Linked DNA regions of Canis lupus familiaris. The protein of the gene in region 1 purifies or fractionates together with the protein of each later gene. This does not show direct contact. Links are inferred from orthologs where the notes say so. Each region holds a gene or a part of one and is shown on either strand. Other genes may lie near its edges.

Region 1 (10,630 bases):
CATGCACAAAGGAATTCATTAAAAATCATTTTAAAATAAAACTATTGACTCAATAACCATTAGGACAACTTGCAGTTGTTTCCATATGGATTTGATTACTTACTAACTATACTGACTTGGATTGAAGTCCATGTCCATCTGGAACTTCAAAATGTGACCTTATTTTAAAAGATCTTTGCAGATGTAGCTGGTCGAGATGAGATCATACCGGATCAAGATGGGTCCTAAATCCATTGAGTGTTGTCCTCATCAGAGATAGCCACACATAAAAGAAAGAACACGAGGTGAAGACAGAGGAAGAGACTGGAGAGGTTCATCTATAAGCCAAGGAAGGCCAAGGGCTGCCAGCCATCACCAGAAGCTAAGGAGACAAGGCATGGAACATTCTCTTGCAGAGTTCTGCTGATAGACCCTGCTGACACCTGGGTTTCACCTGGATCTCACTTTTAGCTTCTGGAACAGTAACAGAATAAATATGTTATTTATATGTTATTATAATGTTAACCCAATCTGGTTAGGTGATTTCCTATGGCAGCCCCCCAAAACTAAAACACTAGTCAAGAGGCCTTGGTGGCTGTTAAACATCTGCCTTCGGCTCGGGTCATGATCCCAGGGTCCTAGGATCAAGCCCTGCATCAGGCTCTCTACTCAGCGGGGGTCTACTTGTCCCTCTCCCATTCCCCCTGCTTGTGCTCTGTCTCAAATAAAACCTTAAAAAATAAAAAGAAAAAAGAAGGTTTTTTTGTTTTGACCTCTGGCCTTTTATGAAGCTGAGATCTGGATCAATTTCTATAGGGACAGATACGATAGTAAGTTTTACCCAACTTCCTTTGGGGCCCCCCTTCAAAAGACATCCTCCTGTGACAGAATATAGAATTTGCCCTAAGCGTGCCTGTCCCCAGCTTCAGACTCACAGGGAAGTATCTACCAAAATGTGCTCTCCTCCAACGATTGCAGCTCTGTCGCAAGACATGCCAACCTTCCCACTGCTGTTTGGGGCCTGCTCACCATTCTAACCCCAGTGACTGCCACCTCCCCAAGCCCCTGGAGATCCTTCAACTGCTCTGGTCCTTTCTTGCCTCCCCTTGGCCACCAACTACTCAGCAGCCTGAAGGACCTTTGCAAGTTACAGATCTAACTCTTGTCACTTTGATCGAGAGCCTTCTGCAGCCTTCTGTGCTCATGAGTCAAGGTTGAGCACTTCTGTCAGCCATGGGACATGGATTCACCATTGCAGATGCAGCTCACAGCAGGCCCTCCCCAGTTCCCTCTCTCTGGGGAACTAAGATCCTGCCTCATGTGTCTTTACTCTCCCTTGGACACCAAGTGGACAGGGAGAGCAAAAGAGCATCACAGCACCTGCTTTTGCAGGAGCATGACAACAGTGTTCTGGAAGGTACACACACACTCACACAAACCCTCCAACAGACAAAAGTACTCTGCAATTATGTCTGGGGACATGAACTGGGATGAAGAAAAGAGTCAAGACTTGACAAATCCAATCTCGATGGTTAGACCCAATGTGCCAGCTACAGGGTTAAGAGCTGGGGGGGTCTGAACACAGAACACAGCACATAGCCACTTACTGGAAAAAAAAAAAAAGTCAACTTTAATTATAACTGACCAAACTGCGTCCAGGAATGTCTCCAAACTGAACAAAAGAAACACGATAAAATTCTCTATTGAAGAAACCAAGTTTTTGCCAACCCCAGGCTTCTGAGGGTTGGGCCAAGAGTAGCCCATTCCTGAGGCTGCTTCTGTCCCCCACACAAGTTTCTCATCCCGAGAGGAGGGCTGGCAACAGGCAAGGGACCTGTCCCTTCCTCCCATCATGCTCAGAAAGTCACTGGTGGGGTGTGCCTCTCCTCCTATCCCATTCTTGCGTGAAAGTAAACGGAGAACCTTTGGGCATCATCTTGAAAGCCAGGGAACAAGGCGAGGGGCCTCAGCGCCCTCCTGGACTTTCAGCCAAAGCTTTGCTCCAGTCCGCTCAGCGGGCATTCCCAGTGCCCAGGGTGGGGAGTAAATGAAATAAGCACTAGAGAAAACTCAAATGCCCCACAATCTCCACAATGCAAGTCACAGAGCAGAAAAAGAAATGAAACTGCCCTAATGAAAAGCGTGGGCAGCCGGCCCTCAGAAGACACGCTCGAATTCCGTCTGGTTGGTGGTGGCAGGATTGCGGCTCTGGTTGGTGGATTGCTGGGTGATTTGACTGCCCTTCCGGCGTGGCGGCGCCAGATACTCGAACATGGACGTCAGGTGGGTAGAGAGCATGCCCTTGAGATCCGAGGGCATGGGGTCCGACCAGAAGAAGTCATGGTTGAGGGCGTCATCACTGTCGATGCGCTGTGCAGGATCCAGCACCAGCAACTTGTCGATGAGGTCCAGCGCGTAGGGGTCACGCACATAGGCCTTCAGCCTGTCCTTCACCTTCCGTTTCTGGCCCTTCACCAGGTCCAGCTTCTCAAAGAGCTCATACTTGTCCACATTGGGCCATACCTGGGCAGGAGGCACGGGAAGAAGACGGTCTTAATTCAGGGGGTGTGTGGCTTGTCCCCTGGTTAGGCACCCGAAGGGACTACAGCTTCTCCTTTCAGATGCTCCCAGACCACCCATGGAGGGTGAATTTGACCTCTCCAAGGTAGAAGCAGCAGTGACCACATGTCTGGCACACACCAAGCGCCAGGCCCTTTTACGTGGTCATCTGAAATATGTCCACCAAGCCTGATACAGGCATAGTTGTTTCACGGAAGAGAAACTCAGCTCCGAGGTGAGGGATGCAAACGCCCTCCCCAGGGCCATGAACTGTGATGGAAGTGAGACTCAAGCATAGCCCATGCGACTCTAAAGAGCAGCCCCTGTCCCTCCACCAGCCACCTCTCCAGAACTTTCCTGCTATTTCACTCCCCACTCCTCCCTTGCCAGGAGGACTTCTGGATCTCTGCGTCCTGTGGGGACCAGGGGCCCAGGCAGCCTGGCCACGCACCTCAGGGGTGATGGAGCCACAGAGCTGGCTGATGAGGGCAAGCTGGTGTTGCTCGGTGTTGCCCTGCATGATAGGGCTGCGGGTCCACATCTCGGCCATGATGCACCCAGCACCCCACAGGTCAATGGGGGGGCCGTAGTCCCGCTCCCCTGGGAAGAAGAGCGCACCAGGAGGGCCCCTTGAGCCCGAGGGCCTCCTGAGACGCAATGCCCCAGGGCCGGCGGCTCAAGAAGCCCTGGCAGTGGGGGACTGAGGCCGGGTAAGTGCCCAGCCCCTGCCCCACTCCGCCCGCTCGGGAGTCCTCACCGAGCAACAGCTCCGGAGGCCGGTACCAGAGCGTCACCACACGGTTGGTATAGCGATTGGGCTGGCTGTTCTTGGCCAGGCTGAAGGCCCGGGCCAGCCCAAAGTCGGCCAGCTTCAGAACCCCATCGCGAGTGATGAGCACATTAGCTGCCTTCATGTCCCTGTGCAGGATCTGCAGGAAGCGCAAGAGGGCTCAATCAGGTTTCCAAGGGGAACCCTCAGTCGCACCCACCCAGCGGTGGGAGCCGAGGCCCACCCCAGCCCGGGTCTCTCTTACCCCATGCTGACCCCCACCTTGTTTCTGTGGATATAGTAGAGGCCGTTGAGCAACATCTGCATGACCTTCTTGATCTCAGACAGTGTGAACTTGACCAAGACATTGCTCAGCAGCCCAGCAAGATCGTGCTCGCAGAAGTCAAACACTAGGTATATACTGCCTTTGCAGCGGTTATAGGGGGAAGCTGGGAGGGAAGAATGGGGGAGGAGTAAGAAAAAGAAAGTAAAAAACCCCACGTGCAACTCATTTCCCCACACAGCTTCTACCCCTCCAGCCCGTGGACACTGGGATATTCGGCTGTGCCTTCCTTCACTGGAAAACTATTTCCTGAGTGCCTCCTCTGGGCTGGGTGCTGTGGCAGGCCCTCGAGGAGCAACAGCTACGATGGAAGGACCCAAGAGCAGTCACAGTCGGTTTGTCTGGGTTAAGAAGAGGCAATTTAGGTGTGTCCACTTCCAACTTTGCAAAGCCTTAGGCAGTAAGCCTCATTTTCCCCATCTGTAAAGGGGGGCAGGAGCCAAAGAACCTACCTTTGGTTCGACAGATCTCAATTAAGTTGACCACATTCTCGTGTTTCAGAAGCTGGAGGATCTTGATTTCCCGCAAAGCCGTAATGGGGAACTGGGTAGGAGAAAGGCAAGAGGGGGCCTGAGGTGAGCGAGTCAACTATAGACCAATGAACAGACCAATGAACAACCGTGTGGTCCAGATCAAGGGGCACAGGTGCAGCAAACGAGTAAGGTCCCGGGCTCTGACATCATTTCAGATGTCTTAGCTGTAAAATGGGTGTAAAAATAGTATGTGCCCCTCAATGAGTTGCTCTGAGACAATGAACTGAAACAGTGGGACTTAATACCTACACACTTCACTACTCGTCACTAAATAAATGTTCCACAGTTTCTTCAATATTTAAGTTTTAGCTCTATACCTGTATTTAACTTACTAGGTGGAAACAAACAGCTATTTAAGGAAATGTCCTTGCTAAGCAGGTCTCTGGGAAGCTGGACTAGGGCTACAATGAGGCAAGGGAGGGGACTGCTCCTTTTCAACTGAGTACCAGCCACTCCCTTAAAACCACCAAGTGGAATTTCTTTCCGCCTTATGCAAAATGAATGCTAAGGAAACCGTGTTTAAAGGCTTCCTAACTTCAGGAACTAAGGCACACTCTGCAGGCATGAGCTCCCCCTCCTGGCCCCAACCGTATTTACCTAAGAGTGGGATATCAAAAGCTCTAAAACATTTGAATTAAAAAATTCAATTTGGAAGCCAAATTCCCCGAATACGGAAATTGCCTAACTACCCCCCCCCCCCCAACACACAGACACACAGGTTCTCCAGACGAGAGCCCTAGCAGAAGCAGGGTGGAAACCCAACCCCGAGCCCAGGGGAGCTGGCAGGCCCGCCCACCCGGCCCATACTCACCCCCTCCTTCTCGTTCTCCATCAGCACTTTCTTCAGAGCCACCTTTTTGCCGGTCTTACGGTGCTTTGCCTTAAATACCTCCCTGCAGGCCGAGAGGGAGACCCAAGAGGTTTTATCAGGCCGTTTCTGCAGGGCCCGCCCCTCCCCCACCAGAGGAGGGGGGCAGAAAAAAGGGATTCCCCGGGCGGGGCTGGGCCGGGGACCCAGGGCACTGCCCTACCTTGCCACCCGCTATCTGCGGAGCTTCGAGCCTCTACTTCCTCCCCTCAGTCTCCTCACTCAGGCGTCTCTCGGAGAGCCCGCTCCCACCACTGGCTCCTCTCCGTAACCCCTCCCCGCCCCCCATCACAGGCCTCAGGCTCCTCCCCGCCAGCCGGCTCGGTCAGGCCCAGGCGGGCCGCAGCGCGGCCTAGCAAAACCAGGGGACACGTCTGGCGCTCATGGCCTTCCCGACCACCTCGGGCCCGGCCCTGGGCATCGTGACGTCGGATTTGAGCGGTGCAGGCCCAGAGCGCCTGGTCCCCCGGGGGCGCAGCCTTACCCGAAGGTGCCTTGGCCGATCTTAGCGAGCTTCTCATATTTGGACACCTCATCACAAAAGGGACACTCCACCGAGTCGTACTGCTTTGCCATGGCCGCCTCCAGCGCGCCGCCGCCGCCGCCCCCAGCCGCCGCCGCCGCCGCTGCTCCCGCTCCGGGTCCCGCCGCCGTGCTCCAGGCCCCTCCGCGGCCGCGCCACTTCCGCCTCCACGGCCACTTCCGGCCTCGCGGCGCCGACCCCGCCTCTTCCGTCCGCCGCCCGCCGCCAGGCCCCCTGGGACTTGTAGTTCCCGGGAGGCCAGGAGCAGCCGGAGCTGCAGAGGCGCCTCCGCCGCCGCCGCTGCCCCCGCCTCCGCCGCCGCCACTGTTGGCGGCTGCCCCGATCGGGGGCGCGGGGAGCCGGGGCGCCGGGGCTGGGGCTCGGGGCGGTGCGTCCCGCTGCATCGGCCCGGGCCGCCGCTGCTGCCGGAGCCGCTGCCGCTCTGGCGCCCGATCCGGGGCCAGCCGCAGTGCCCTGCTCCTCCTCCTCCGACGGCGCCGCCTCCGCCGGGCTGCGCGGGGCGGCGAGCGGGGGGGTGGCCCCCGAGCCGCGGCCTGGGGTCTCCCTGGCCGGGCCCGGGCCCGGGGCGGCCGGGCAAGGGGGCGAGATGGGAAGAGCCGACGAGGAGGTGGCCCGAGAGCCCGGGAGGGGGCGCGTTATAAAGGGGGAGGTGCCCTGGCCTCGCCCTCCCCTCCCCCTCCGCCCGCCCCCCTCCCTCCTCCCTCCCACCCTCCGCGGCCGCACCTGCCGCCGCCGCCGCCGCCGCCGCCGCCGCCGCCGCCGCCGCCGCCCGCTGTCCGCCGGCCGCCCTCGGCGCGTCACCGCCCGCGGCCCCTCCTCCGCCTTCGGAGGTGGGGCCCCGAGCTCGACACCTGGCTGCGGAGCGCTTTGTCGCGTGCCTCAGTTTACCCCCCCATGCTAGCTGCCGCGGAGAGCCCTCTCCCCGGCTCGGAGTGCCCCTCCGCTGGGAAAGGCGGGAGGCGCCGAGGGAGCGGCCTCCGGTCCTGGGAGGAGAGAACGGCCCCCGCCGCCGCCTCCCCAGGCCCCAGCCGCCCGCCGTTGACATGGCAACCGACGGCCGCTAGGGGGCGCGGCGACACTGGAGACGGCGAGCGAGCAACGCCCGGGCCTTCCTGCCCTGGACCCCCAATTTTCTGGGAGGAAGGGATGAGACCCGCGGGAGCCCTATGCCCACCCAGCTGCGTCCGAGCGGGTCAGTCCCGGGTCAGTAATCACAAAAATGGCTAGCATTTGCTCAGAACTCCTGTGTGTTCAGGAATCGCTGGGCATTCCTGCTGAATCCTGCTGAATCCTCAATCAGGCGCCCCATGGGCAGGTTAACTAGCCCATTTTACAGAAGAGGGCATTGAGGTTCAGAGTGGTGAGGTCATTTGCCCAAGGTCACAGAGTGACAGCGCTGTGACTGGAACCTGGTCTGTCTGATTCTTTTTTTTTTTTTTTTTTTTAAAGATTTTATTTATTTATGATAGTCACAGAGAGAGAGAGAGAGAGGCAGAGACATAGGCAGAGGGAGAAGCAGGCTCCATGCACCGGGAGCCTGACGTGGGATTCGATCCCGCGTCTCCAGGATCGCGCCCTGGGCCAAAGGCAGGCGCCAAACCGCTGCGCCACCCAGGGATCCCTGGTCTGTCTGATTCTGAAGAGGATTCTCCCGAGTCAAGGCTATCTACAGTCTGGCCAAGGGTAGAGCAATGGTGCGGTTTGAGGCCTGCTGTCCCTATGTCAGCCACCAAGCCCTCCACCCATCTCCTCCTCCGACCCGACTCCAACCCTTCCTCCTCATTTTCCTGCTACCTTCCAGGCTCCAGGAGCCTCTAGATTCTTCCTCCAGCTCTACTCAACAATCAACCCACAGCAAAGCTGACCTTTCTACCACCTCTGCACCCTTTCAGTCTGTCCTCTGCTGATGGGTCCTGAGTCCTACTCTCCCCAGTCTGGCCTCTCCATCTGTCCTCCTTACAGCACCTTCCAGGTCCTTCTAAAATGAGGTATTTCCCTCTTCCACTGTCTTCAGGAAAATCAAAATTGTGACACTTGAGGCTCTTTCCAGCTCCATCCCAGTGGCAGGAATCTCCCTCCTGCGCTTTGCTAACTCCCTGGACCTTCCTACCTTCAGAGCTGGAAGGCAGTTCCTCAGTGGCACACCATTACCTGTCTCTTCAGGAAGCCCTCAGGGTGACCTGGTAGCTCTTAACCCCCATGGCTTGGCTTTCCAGCCCTCGTAGAAGGAAGCAGGTTCTGATGATCCTGGCATCCCAAGAGTCTCTGTTTTGGGGGAGGGCCATGCAACAGACACCTTGAGGTTCAGGCGACCAGCAGGGAGCCCCCTCCTGAGGTCAGTGTGAGGCCATCGAGGGTTTTAGGCAGTCAAGAGACCTGTCGAGGTGATCTGGGATCTGCTTCATGGGTCTAATGTAGAAACAGGGAGGCTGGTAGCTAAATTGCAGGTAGGGAGGGCAAGGAGGGAAAGCACAATAATAATTGTAGTCATTACAATTTGTTGAAGGAAAATAAATGGTCCAAGCCAACCATCAGCACTTTACAAGAATCCTCTCAATTCTCATTCATAGGTAGGTAATATAATCACTCTGTTGTACACGTAAGGACATCGGAACTCAGAGGTAACATCACCTGGCCAGGGTCAAAGAGCTGGCCAGCAGCCACACTGGTATTTAAACCAGGTCACTCTAGACCCCACCCACTGGGGCTGTGGGGAGAGCTAGGGCACAGCCAGGACACAGTACCACTGGCCTAGGTGTCCTGGATGCCCATGGGAGGTATGGGAGGGGATGGCAGTATTGGGGATGTACCATGGTTTTGGGTGGTCTCCACCATCAGACCCTCAGGCTGGGGCCCCTACCTCTTTCCCACGAGCCCTCCTTAAATCACATCCTGTGGGCAGAGGCCTCAGCAGATGTTCCGGTGATGTTGTCACCTCCACCCTACCATCCCTGGCCTGAACCCCAACATCCGCCTGTCACTTCCCCTCAGAGCTTTGGCCTCCCAGACAGAAGCCATCAGGAGCCCTTTAGAAGCCTGCCCACCACACTGCCCAGGCATGGGGTCCTGGATCACCCAGGTGGAAGTATGAACAAATTAGGTCCTAGTTGGAAATGATTTGTCACTGACTCTGACTTCTGATTTGCTGGTCTGAGGAAAATGTTTCCTGCTTCCGTGGACCAGCTAAGCTGGCAAAGCCAGGCATGTGGCCAGTACTCAGTCAATGTTTGCCAACTGACTGACCAGACTCTGTGAGAGCCTCTGGTCCTGCTGCCTTGTGACAGGGATGCTGAGGCACAGAGTAGAAGAGGGGGTTACTGGCCAGCTGCTTGACTCTGGCCCAGACCTTTGTTTTCCTCTCCTGAGCAGGGACAGAGTAGGGGGCATATGAAGGGAGGCAGAAAATAGGCTCACAGGTAGGCTGCTCTTGGCTGCTGGACACAAAGGGGCACTGGGTAGGGAGAGACCAGACAGAGGGCAGTGTGGTCTAGCAGCTCTGTACACCATGGACGTTCTGCCCCCACCAGCTGGGTACTGACTCTGCTCAGCCCTGTGTTGATAGGTGTCATTTCCCTGGAGCTTTACAGTGCCCCTCTTAGGAGGTTGCTCGTATTGGGCCCAAGTTACAGAAGAGGAAACTGAGGCTCAGCAAGGTGAAGTGGCCTGTCCAAGGCCACACAGCCAGGAAGCTATGGAGCTGGGATTCAAAGCCAGGTGTCTTTGCTTTCAAAGCCCAGGGTCGGGGCTCCTGGCTGGCTCAGTGGGTGAGCAAGTGACTCTTGCTCTCAGGATTGTAAGTTGAAGCCTTACATGGACATGGAGCCTACTTTAAATTAACAGCAACAACAAAAACAAAGCCCAGGGGGTCATTTACCATCAGCCCACACAACCCCCAATATCAGACAACTGGGTCAAGCCAGGAGGAGCTGAGACCTATAGTACAGGCGCCAGTCTGGATACATACGGCCAACTCCTCTCAGGGAGGGTGAAGTCTGTTCGAATATGCAAATAAAGACACCAGTGAATGTAACACGGATAACACTTGCAGTAAAGATGTTTTATTTCACTGCCACAGGATCACATGAGGGATGTTGAATTTGTCCCATTTTACGGATGGGAAAAACAAGGCTCAGCGAGGTGACATGACTTGCCCAGGGTCCTGCACGTGGGATCTGAACTCAGGTTCGCCTGGGCCCCAGTGACTTTGACAATGAAGCTGAAGGATTCCAAAGCATAATAGAACCTGGCCAAACACAGACGGGGGAAGAGGCAGGAGGGAGGCGACAGGAACCAGAGCAGGGCTCCCTAGGGCCCTGTGGCTGGATCTTGAGCTGCGGCCACTCAATGGTGGCAAAACTCTCAGCCAGTGGTGGTGGGTGGGAGAGCCACACTCGGGGTGTGGGTCCAGCCGCAGCAGGGGCCTGGAGGCAGGAAAGCACTTCTCTTGTCCGGGCTATGGAGCACATGCGCTACTCTGGGCCAGCCTCCAAAGCAGGCTGAGGAGGGTCTGCGAGACGGCCACCCGCCAGCAGGTCCCCAGCGGCACTCCCAACGGCCACTCAAGGCAGCACAAAGGGGGCTCTGAGCTCAGTGGAGCTGCCACACTGAGCCCCATTCATTCTCCCAGGGACGCGGCAACTGCCCTGGCGCCCAGGCCAACGGCAGCAACACGGCCTCAACGCGGCCTCAGCTCAGCCCAGCTCCCGGCTCCCCCACCCTGTGCTCTCTCCTGGGCGCTTCTGGGCTGTGCCACTCTGGCCCGGGCCTGCACCACCCCCATCCTTCAGCAACAATCACTGGGGGCTGCGAGGCCGCCGGGACCAGCCTGGGCCAACTTTTGCTCCTTTCATCCTCCCAACAAGCCCTGGAAATGGGAGCGACTGTGACCCTACTTCATGGATAGAAACGGAGTACCAAAGAGGCAGAGTCTCGTGAAGGGTCACACGGTGAGGCAGGAGTCCCAGAAACCCAGGTTACTGAGACTGCCTCCCAGGGGGAAGCCAGGGATATCCCCTCTGCCTTCCATGAGGAAGAC
Region 2 (10,801 bases), on another chromosome or scaffold:
GTGTCTGTGTGTATATAAAATCTGTCTCTATACTTCAGGCCATCTCAAATACCTGGTGTCAAGTTTTCAAATTTTTTTTTCCTGTCTGTAATAAAATTCAGTTATAAAATTCAACCATCTTAAAGTGTACAATTCAGTGACATTAGTACATCTTCAGTGCTGTACAACAACCCTCACCACTATTTAGTTCTAGAACATTTTCATAACTCCAAAAGGAGATCCCTGTACCAACTAAGCAGTCTCTCCGTTCTCCCCTCCCCCCAGTCCCTGCAAACACTATCTACTTTCTGGCTCTACAGACTTGTCTATTCTGGATATCTGATACAAATGAAATTCTACAATATGTGGTCTTTTGAGCCCAGCTTCTTTCACTTGGTATGATGTTTTCAAAGTTCATCCATGTTGTAGCATGTATCATGTACGTATTATGTGGTTTCTTTTGGGGGCTGACCAGAATATTTAATCTATGGATATACTATATTTTGTTTATCCAAGCATTAGTTGATGGACATTTGGGATGTCTCCATCGTTTGGCTATTGTAAATAGTGCTATATCCCTCGGGAAACTTTGTTTAAACACCTATTTTCAATTTTTGGGGGTGGAATTGCAGGGTCACATGGTAATTCTATGTTTAACTTTGCATTATTTTACATTCCCACCAGTAATGAATGAGGGTTCCATTTTCTCCACATCCTATTACCTATAATTTTATGTTTTCATTATAGGCATCTTAGTATGAAGTAGCTATTTTATTGTGGTTCTGATTTGCATTTCCCTAATGCCAGTGGATGTTTATTATGCTTTCATGTGCTTTCTGACCACTTTTACATCTTCTTTGGATAAACGTCTATTCAAGTTCTTTGCCCATGGCTTATTAAGGTTGTCTTTTTATTGTTAAGCTATAGTTCTTTACATATTCTGACTCTAGATCCTTATCAGATATATGATTTGAAAATATTTTCTCCCATTCTTTTCACTCACTTCAGTGTCCTTTGATAGAACAAAAAATTTTAATTTTGATGAAATCCAATTTATCTTTTACTTCTTTTGGAGTCATATCTAAGAAACCATTGCCAAATCTAAGTCGTCCCCTAGAGCTCTCTTTCTTATGCACCAAGCTAATCTCTTTGTTTATATAAACTAAACACCCTACTTTAACACACTTCTTCATTCTGGAATAGCTTTTAATTAATAATAACCTATCATGTAGAAAGAACTATACTGTTTCAAAGCAATTTGCCTTGACATAATTTTATAATCAATGTTGCAAGGTTAGGATTACTGCTTCTAACCTATAGAAACATGATTTTTGAAAACAAAAAAGAGGGTGCCTGGGTGGCTCAGTTGGTGAAGGGTCTACCTTCGGCTCACGTCATGGTCCTGGGATAGAGCCCCATGTCGGGCTACCTACTGGGCAAGGAGTCAGCTTATCCCTCTCTCTATACCTCTGTCCCTTCCCTCACTTGTGCTTTCTCTATCAAATATTTTTTAAATAAAAATAAAAACAAAAAATATAAAAATACAACACCCATGTTATGTTCTTGCACAAACCATCTATTCCTTAGCTCCAAACTAAGGTAAACATACAAAAAGAAACCAAATTCTAGGGGTGCCTGGGTGGCTAAGATGGTTAAGTGTCTGCCTTTGGCTCAGACCATGATCCCAGGGTCCTGAGACTGAGCCCCATATCAAGTTCCCGGGGGGGCTGCTTCTCTCTTTCCCTCTGCCTGCCACTCCCCCAGTTCTCTCTCTCTCTCTCTCTCTCTCTCTCTCTCTCTCTCTCTCTCTCGTCAAATAAATAAATAAAATCTTCAGGAAGCAAGCAAGCAAGCAAACTCTAGCATTACAACCTGGAAACAAGAGACTATAATAAATATCTCCTCACATGAACCCCATTCTGGAGGTTCCAGGTTTCCCCTATAGACTTTGCCAATGGCTATAACTGACCATGTTTTGGTGGGTTTTGTCACAAGGACTCCCCACACACAAACAAAAGACACCTAGAAGTTAACACCTACTTCTACATTTGAAACGCACATTAGCATGTGACAACTTTTTCAAAGGCTAGTTTAAAATATAAGAATCATGAATTAAAGGACACTTGGGTGGCTCAGTCAGTTAAGCGTCTGCCTTTGGCTAAGAGTCCTGGGATGAAGACGGGAGTCAGGCCCCCTGCTCAGTGGGGAGTCTGCACCTCCCCACCACTTATGTGTGCAAGTACACGCTCTCTCTCAAATAAATAAAATCTTCTTTAAAAAATAAAAGAAAATAAAAGAATTATGAATTAAGGTTAAAAATATATCACACAGGGCAGCCCGGGTGGCTCAGTGGTTTAGCGCCGCCTTTGACCCAGGGCGTGATCCTAGAGACCCAGGATCGAGTCCCACATCGGGCTCCCTGCATGGAGCCTGCTTCTCCCTCTGCCTGTGTCTCTGCCTCTCTCTCTCTCTCTCTCTCTCTGTCTCTCATGAATAAATAAATCTTTAAAAAAGAATATATATACATATATATGTTTATATATACACACACACAAAAAAAAAAAAATCCAGGAAGTTTGGCATTGAAGCAGTATTATCTCTCAAGAAAGACACAGATCTTAAAAAAAAAAAAAAAAAAAAGAAAGAAAGACACAGATCTCTATCTTAGAAAACGTACCCTTCAGTTACAACAAGCAAATGGCAAGTATTAAATATGGCAAAAGAAGGAACTTAATACTTTAGTTTTCCCTCCATACATGTATGAATATATATTACTCATATATTCCCACTTGCATGTCTTAAGTTACGATGTAAATATTCCAAAATGGCTTGAAAGCCACTGGCCTAAAAAGATGAAAATAAGGAATAATAAAAAATGATCTAACACCAATAAAAGCAAAGAGCAATGATATATTAAAGTACTTTCTACCATGTATACTTGGCAGACATTACTGCTGAGTAATGAGTAACAGTTTTTACAATCCTAATGAAAAAAAAAATTCCAGAAGACTCTAAAAGGGCAATAGTAAAGCAGGAAAACATCAAAGAAGATGAAGCTTGACAGAATGGAAAAGATTTTGACAAGTAGAATATTCTGGATAAAGTTGACAAAATCAAACAAGGAAAAGAAAATTTGACTAGAAAGCTCAAAAGAATCTAAAGAACCATCTGCTGGGGATGAAAGTTCTGAGAATTGATATAATCCCAAGTAACAGTATATAAAGAGATGGGGCAACAATGAGATTATCACATACATCAGAATGGCCAAAGTCCCTAAGACTGACAACACCAAACGCTGATGAGGATGTAGGACAACAAGAACTCCCATTCATCACTGCTAGCAATGCAAAAGGTACAGCCACTCTGAAAGACAGTTTGACACTTTTTTTTACAAAAACTAAACATATAATACAGCAATCATGCACCTCAGTATTTACCCAAGAGCTGAAAACATGTTCACACAAAACCCTACACATGAAATATTTAGACCAGCTTCACTCACAACTGCTAAAACTTGGAAGCAACAAAGACATCCTTCAGTAGGTGAATGGGTAAATTGTGGTACATCCAGACAATGGAATATTAGTCAATGCTTAAAGAAAAGAAAAAAAAGAAGGCTGTCAAGCCATGAAGAGACATGGAAGAAAGTTAAATGCACATTATGAAGCGACTGAAGCCAATGTGAGAAGGCTACACGCTGTATGATTCCATCTATATGACGTTTTGGAAAGGCAAAACTAAAGAGTTAATAAAAAGATCAGTGGTTGCGAGGAGAGGAAAGAAAGTGATGAGTAAGTGGAGAATAGAGGATTTTTAAGGCAGTGAAAATACTCTGTAAGATACCAGTAACGACTGACATATGTCATCATACATTTGTCCAAACCCAGACAATGTACAACACCAAAAGTGAGCCCCAATGTAAACTATGGGCTTTGGGTGATTATGATATGCCCATGTAAGTTAATCAACTGTAATAAATGCACCACTCTGGTGGGGGATGTTGATAATGGTGGAAGGTAAGCAAGCATGTGTGGGGGCAGAACATCTCTACCTTCCCCTCAATTTTGCTGCAAAGCTAAAACTGCTCTTTAAAAAGTCTTAGTTAGGGGATCCCTGGGTGGCTCAGCGGTTTAGCGCCTGCCCTCAGCCCAGGGCCTGATCCTGGAGTCCCGGAACCGAGTCCCACATTGGGCTCCCTGCATGGAGCCTGCTTCTCCCTCTGCCTAGGTCTCTGCCCCTCTCTCTCTCTCTGTCTCTCATGAATAAATAAATAAAATCTTCAAAATATAAAAAATAAAAAGTCTTAATTAAAAAGAGAGAGATGGGAAGAGAGGTCAGACCTTGGGGATATATTTCGAGGTACAAGTAGCAGATTCAATAAAGGAAAAAGGAGAAAGATAAAGAGCCCCTAGATACTACATAAGAAAAGCCAGAAAGCAAAAACAGCTTCACAAAGCAACAATATCAAATGCTACAAAATGAGAAGAAACCAATGAATTTTTACAAGATCGCAATTTCGAGACCCTAAGAAAATGCGGATGCAAGCTAGAAAAGGGTTCATATTTTAGTGTGAAGCTTTAATGTTTTCTTCTAACTTCCTAATTGGAATCCCAATAAGTAGAAAGCGTTTTCATCAAGACAAGGAAGGAAAAAGTAGAAAAATTTTAGATTTTATGGCAGACAAGGAGATTGGTGACAGCCATGACATAATCTGAGGGCAGAACAAGAGTGTTCCATGAAAGGAGAGCTCTGAAGACAAACCAAGAGTTCTGCACTCAAAGAGTTCTAGTCCCACTTGGGTACTACATTAGGAGGGATTCTAAGATGGCCCACACAATTTCCACCCTGTTAAGCCCATGATTAGGGTTGCAAGACAAAAGGGATTTTGCAGGTGTGTAACTCATCAGGTGACTCTGAGTTAATCAAAAGGGAGGTTTTCCAGGTGGGCCAGGCTAATCTTAAAGCCTTTTACATGCTGATCTAGAGATCAAAAACAGGAAAGTTAAGAGAGACTTCTGAAGTCAAAGAGATAAGCTCCTGGTAGCCTACAAGAAAGCAAACATCCATGTCACTGAGCAACACACTTGGAGCAAACTCTAAGAGAGTTAGGTGACAGCAGGAAAGAAAACAGGGACTTCGGTTCCTCAGGTGCAAGGGACTGAATTCTGCCAAAATGAACTTGGAAGAGGACTCTGAGGTCCAGATGAGCACCACAGCAGTCAATGCCTCAACTGCAACCTTGTGCGGCACCGAACAAAGAATCCAGACCATTCATAACCAGAAAGTCTAAGAATAAATGGGTGCGGTTTTAAGCTGCTAAGTGTGTGACACCTGTTATGCATCAAAAAAGAACTAATACAGACCCTACTTGCCTACAAAAGCTGCTTCTATCCTGGCAACAAGTAGGGAGACAAGCAAACTTGAAGGAAAAAAAAAAAAAGCCTGACATGATTTCTCACTCACTCTGACTAGAGATTTTGTTCAATTGCTGCTTGGTGTGCAATACATCTTCCAACATATCAATAATTCTGAAAACTGTGAACAATAGAAATAGAAGTTTATTTCCAACTTTAGAAAAGTACTTTGACAAGCGTGCAGATGTAAGTCACTGGGTGTCTAGGCTTCCTGGATGTCTGCCAAAGTTGTCCCAGCACCTGGAGAAATACATCCCCAAGCTAACCTCAGAAATGAGCACAAGGTCATGACTCCTGTTCTTCCTCAGTACCCAGAGTTTTTACTTCATAAACTACAATCTCTCATTTTTTGTCTAGAGTAAGAATACCTCAGAGGCTCTCTAAGCTGCAAAAAAGAAGGTCCTTCCCGAGTAATTACAACCTTGACCCCTAAAATGTGGACTCTAACAGTCCCAACACCTCCTTATTAAAGATGCAACAAGCCAAGGCTATAGGCGTTTCCTGCTGGGAACTGTAGTTCTCCCCGCGACCTTCAACCACTGGCTGCGCGAAACCTATCACGAGCCCAACCGGCAACCCGAGCGCCAGAGCCACTATTGGTCCCTGCCTGGGGCAGCGCGCCGCTGATTGGACGACGCGTCCCCGAAGCCGCGCTGACGGTCCTGCGCCCGCCTCCCCACCACCTTCTCTCCACACCCCATCCCGCTTACAGCAATAACCCTCAAATCATCCCAGTCGGGCGAACCCCCTAATCAACTGCTTCACGGGTCGGCCCAGGACTCCCGCGATGAGGGCGGCCGCGAAACACGCCTCTCTCCCGGGGCCTAGTCAGAGCGAAAGCCTCTCCCATTTTCCGTTGGTTGGCCGGAGTCCGCCTCACCACGCGCTCTCCCAGCGCCCCCGCGCTCACCTGGGCGGCGGCGGTCACACCCGATAACTGACAGGCCCGCAGCATTTCGGCCGGGCTTGGGCACGGCTGGCGTACGAGGGAGCTGCCGCGGAGGCGTTAGTAAGGGAGAGCGTGCGTACGTCCCTGCGTCCGTGCCGCCTCTCCGCGCCGGTCCTACCGGAAGGGCAACAAACGCCGCTGCGCACGCGCAGCCCCCTTTCTCGACCCCGCCCAGGCCGCCCGGAGAGGCGCCCCCCCCCCGCACCGACCCCGGGCGGAAAAGGCTATTTCTCCTTCCGGGTCGCCTTCGGAGTTCTGGTCTGTATCCGCCAGAAGGGGTTAGTAGGTGAACCCGGAGGGTGAGAGGAAGCGCGAAACTCGGGCTTTGATCAGTGCGGATAGAAGATGTTATTCGTCGAAGAATTCAAGGAAAAAAACATCCCGGCCGCATTTGTCAGCTGGGTATTTCGTAGAAAGCAGACGGTTTGGCGAAAGTTACGTAAACAATGGTGTTTTGGTTTGCGTGTTTGTTTGCTTTGACAGCCTTTCTTCAGGGAGTCATCCTGATTATGGGAGATTGGGAGGACGAACACTGGAGAGACCTTTGTGCGGAACGCGTTGTTCGCGCATCTAATAAATGGCAGAGCAGGGATAGAAACCCACATCCTTCGGGTTCCACCGCTTCTACTCCTAGATTTAAGCCACACTTATTTTCCCACTACGTTTTCCTTTTACAAAGATAATTTTGATGGAATGCGTCGGAAGTTAAGGAGATCAGTGTAGAAAAACTCTTCAGAGTATTCCACGGAGTCTGTAACCAAGATTTAGTATGTTAAATATTGAACACAGTATTCAATACTGTTATTACTAATAATGATCGTACCATCACAATATCAAAAGAAACTGAATAACGTGTATATCCGTTGCATTTGCTAAGTGCTTTTAGGTCTTAACTAGGCTATTTATCACAGCATGGTGTTCCTAGAGTTACGGTGTTTTACAATATGGTGGTATCACAGTATGATACTAATCCCACTTGTAAAATGGAGAAAGGAATTTGAAAATTACCTAAAATCAAATACTTATGTCCGTATATATTCATTGCTTTTCAGGGTGCTTTAAAAATTACGTTACGCTCTCTAATTTCATATCCCCATCACCTAACAGCCCCCAAAGCAGTCTCCCGTTTTTAAAAGTAGTTTTAGCATTAAATTGCAGTCTCCCCAACCCCTCCCACCCACCCCCCGTCCCTGCCCACTGCTGTTCTGTTATACGGGGTGATGCCAGTGTAATGAGTTTTCTAATATCTTGGCCATAAACCTCTCAATATCAAATAAGCAATTTAAATCTACCCTAACCGGGATCCCTGGGTGGCGCAGCGGTTTAGCGCCTGCCTTTGGCCCAGGGCGCGATCCTGGAGACCCGGGATCGAATCCCACGTCGGGCTCCCGGTGCATGGAGCCTGCTTCTCCCTCTGCCTGTGTCTCTGCCTCTCTCTCTGTGACTATCATAAATTAAAAAAAAAAAAAAATCTACCCTAACCGTGTGTGGCCCAGCCACATCCTGGGCCTGAACATCGTTACCAACTTCAGCTTCCAAATCTCAAGCTCCAAAATTAATTTTTGTTGTTTCCTCATCTCCCATTTAACCAAATCCTTAATCTTCATCCTCCACGTGCAATTTATGGATTTTTTTTTTTGCTTTGAAGTGGACTCCCCCAAAGTAACATACAAATTTAAATCATTCCTCTGTTCAAAAATGTGCAAGGACTTCCATTATCAATTCAAAGAGTATTTGTGAAATGTCTCAGTACTTTTTCAATACATGAGAATATGTTTAAGGCTCAATTTAGCCATCTTAGGTGGGAGATTAAGAAAGCAATGATAGTAGTCAAAGCTCATCACCCACTTACATACCCTAAAACCCAGAAGAATTAAAGGATATGACTCTCCTCAGTTGGTTCTCAGAATGTGAACGGGGACCACTGGGGAGTCTGAGACCTTTTCAGAAGATCCATAAAAATCAAAACTACCTTCATAATATTAAGATATTATTAGCTGTTTTCACTCATTTCTCATAATTTTACAGTAGAATTTTTCCAGAAGCTAGGTGACAAGTGAAATTAACAACAGACAATGCATAAGCAAATTTCAGAATCCAGCTACTAAACCATACTTTAAAGAGATTTGCCGGGATCCCTGGGTGGCACAGCGGTTTGGCGCCTGCCTTTGGCCCAGGGCACGATCCTGGAGACCCAGGATCAAATCCCACGTCGGGCTCCTGGTGCATGGAGCCTGCTTCTCCCTCTGCCTGCGTCTCTGCCTCTCTCTCTCTCCTCTCTGTGCATTCTCATAAATAAATAAATAAAATCTTTAAAAAAAAAATAAAGAGATTTGCAGAAAAAGTTAGGAAATGATACTGTTCTCAGTATTTTTTTGGGGGGGGAGAGTTACTTTTCATGAGTGTATTTTTGTTATGAAAATCATAGTTTTTTACTAAGTATGGTAGGCAGAATAATTATTCCTGAACATAGCATATTTTCCTAATCCCTGTAACCTATAAATGTTACCTTACATGACAAAAGAACCTTGCAGATGTGATTAAGACTCTTGCAACGAGGAGATGATCCTGGATTATCTGCATAGGGCCAATGTAATGACAAGGGTCCATTTGAGTAGAAGATGAGGACAGGAGAGGCAGAGTCAGAAAAGGATATGTGACAATGGAAGCAGAAGTCAGAGGAATGTGATTACTGACTCTGAAGATTGAAAGAGGCATAAGCCAAGGAATACAGGCAGCCTCTAGAAGCTAGACAAGGCAAGGAAACAAGTTCTTCTCTACAGCTTCCAGAAGGAACAGAGACCTGGATATTTTGATTTAGCCTTGTGAAACTCATTTTAGATTTATGACCTACAGAACTGTAAGATAATTTGTGTTGTGTTAAGCCACTAGGTTTGGGGTACTTTGTTACAGGAGCAATTGGAAATATAATTAAAAGCTCTTTGGAGTCCTCAGATTTTAAGTATGTAAAGAGGTACTAAGACCAAAAGGTTTGAGAATCACTGCTATATAAAATCCTGTATCTTTCTGTCCTGGCTCCCTGTCTTCTCATCTTAGCTCTTCCTGTTCTTATTGCCAAGAATGACTTTGCTCTTGTTAAAATCCATCCCATTCTTTAAGACTTGTGTTACATTCTCTTCCCTCATCATCTCAATCAGAATGCCTTCTCTCCTTAACTTCGAACTGCTCCTGTGAATCATCTGTCTTGTATTTATGTTCTGCACTTGTCTCATTAAAGGTGAACTCCTTGAGACCAGTGTTGATCCTTATTCATTTCAATCAGTATATGGTGTCATTTATTGTATATGCATGGAATCTTAACCAACAAGGATAGGTTAGAGATTTGTTTTCTGTTTGAGTGAACATTGGAAAAATGTATGATCACTAATTATCAATAAAATAAGGAACATAAGAATTGTTTAGGAAGGATTGAGATGCTGTTCTACCAAATGACAGTCAGTGTTAATGATTAGAAGAAACTATGTGTGTGTGATATCCTTAGGACATGTACATTCATTTAATTATGATTGGCATTCAATTTTTAAAAAATTTTAATAATATTGCTATGTCCCATTCATGCAGCCTAACATCTAGCAGCTTTGAAAGGAATATGTTATTTTTTGAAAGTTAATAAAATGAGCAAAATGAAATTGTGTAACATTTATTTATTTATTTATTTATTTATTTATTTATTTATTTATTTATTTTGAAATTGTGTACTTTAGATGTCAAATGCTCACTGAAAATTTAAGAGCCTACCCAATGCCAGACACAGTACATAGGTACTTGTTCTTCATAGGCGGTGAAGAACTGCTTGGCATATAGAAGACATTCAATAAAACTTGCCTTAACCGTTACTTTTTTCGTTTTTGTTTTTTTTTTTTTTCCTTCTTTTTTTCTTAGACTCCACCCATACCTTTTCCTTAACTTCCTTTCGCGCTGGAGTTTTAGATCCCAATGCGGCTGCCGTAGGGCGGGGTGGCAAGATGGCGGCCCCTGTCTTTGCTCGTGCCGTGAAGGCCGCCTCAGGTCAGTAGAAAGCTGCGCGCTGGATTTAGCCCCTCACAGAAGGCGGGACTGGTGTAGGATGGAGTAGGCGTTTAGCGTGAGCGTGGAGGTTAACTGGGGAATAAAGGCCAGAGGATTGTAATGAATTTTCTACAGGGCTGCCCGTGTTCGGCCGGTCGCATCGGACATCGCGGACGCTCGTGGACCCTCGCGGACCTACGTGTGTCCCCAGGTTTCCGCTTCCTTAGTGGCTCCTGGTCCTTCTGCCTTAGCCAGAAAGAGGGCCCGACGGACTGGGGCGGAGGGGGGTGAGTGAAGGAGACAGAAAAGTCCGTGCTAACCTTCTGATTGAGAGGCTAGGAGTCGCCACTCATGACCTTTGGCCTTGAAGTAATTTCTCAGTCTCAGGTTCTGCAGCTCTACAGCGAGGACGATACCGTGTACCTGAGAA

Evidence for each region.
Region 2: the proteins of CDK9 (region 1) and IMMT purify together in Homo sapiens (affinity purification with mass spectrometry; 3 studies listed by BioGRID, with this or other methods). This does not show direct contact. The link is inferred for Canis lupus familiaris from reciprocal best matches to the Homo sapiens genes CDK9 and IMMT.

What each region holds. Positions count from the first base shown.
Region 1 is NC_049230.1:55,701,562-55,712,191, forward strand, and holds CDK9 (cyclin-dependent kinase 9), read right to left. Parts: upstream 5,696-10,630; 5' UTR 5,628-5,695; coding exon 5,536-5,627; intron 5,077-5,535; coding exon 4,995-5,076; intron 4,194-4,994; coding exon 4,103-4,193; intron 3,757-4,102; coding exon 3,590-3,756; intron 3,468-3,589; coding exon 3,296-3,467; intron 3,139-3,295; coding exon 2,990-3,138; intron 2,503-2,989; coding exon 2,137-2,502; 3' UTR 1,583-2,136; downstream 1-1,582. UniProt on the Homo sapiens protein: Protein kinase involved in the regulation of transcription.
Region 2 is NC_049238.1:39,246,813-39,257,613, reverse strand, and holds the start of IMMT (MICOS complex subunit MIC60), read right to left. Parts: upstream 6,477-10,801; 5' UTR 6,349-6,476; coding exon 6,304-6,348; intron 1-6,303. Other genes in the region: MRPL35 (39S ribosomal protein L35, mitochondrial), read left to right, coding at 10,329-10,371. UniProt on the Homo sapiens protein: Component of the MICOS complex, a large protein complex of the mitochondrial inner membrane that plays crucial roles in the maintenance of crista junctions, inner membrane architecture, and formation of contact sites to the outer membrane.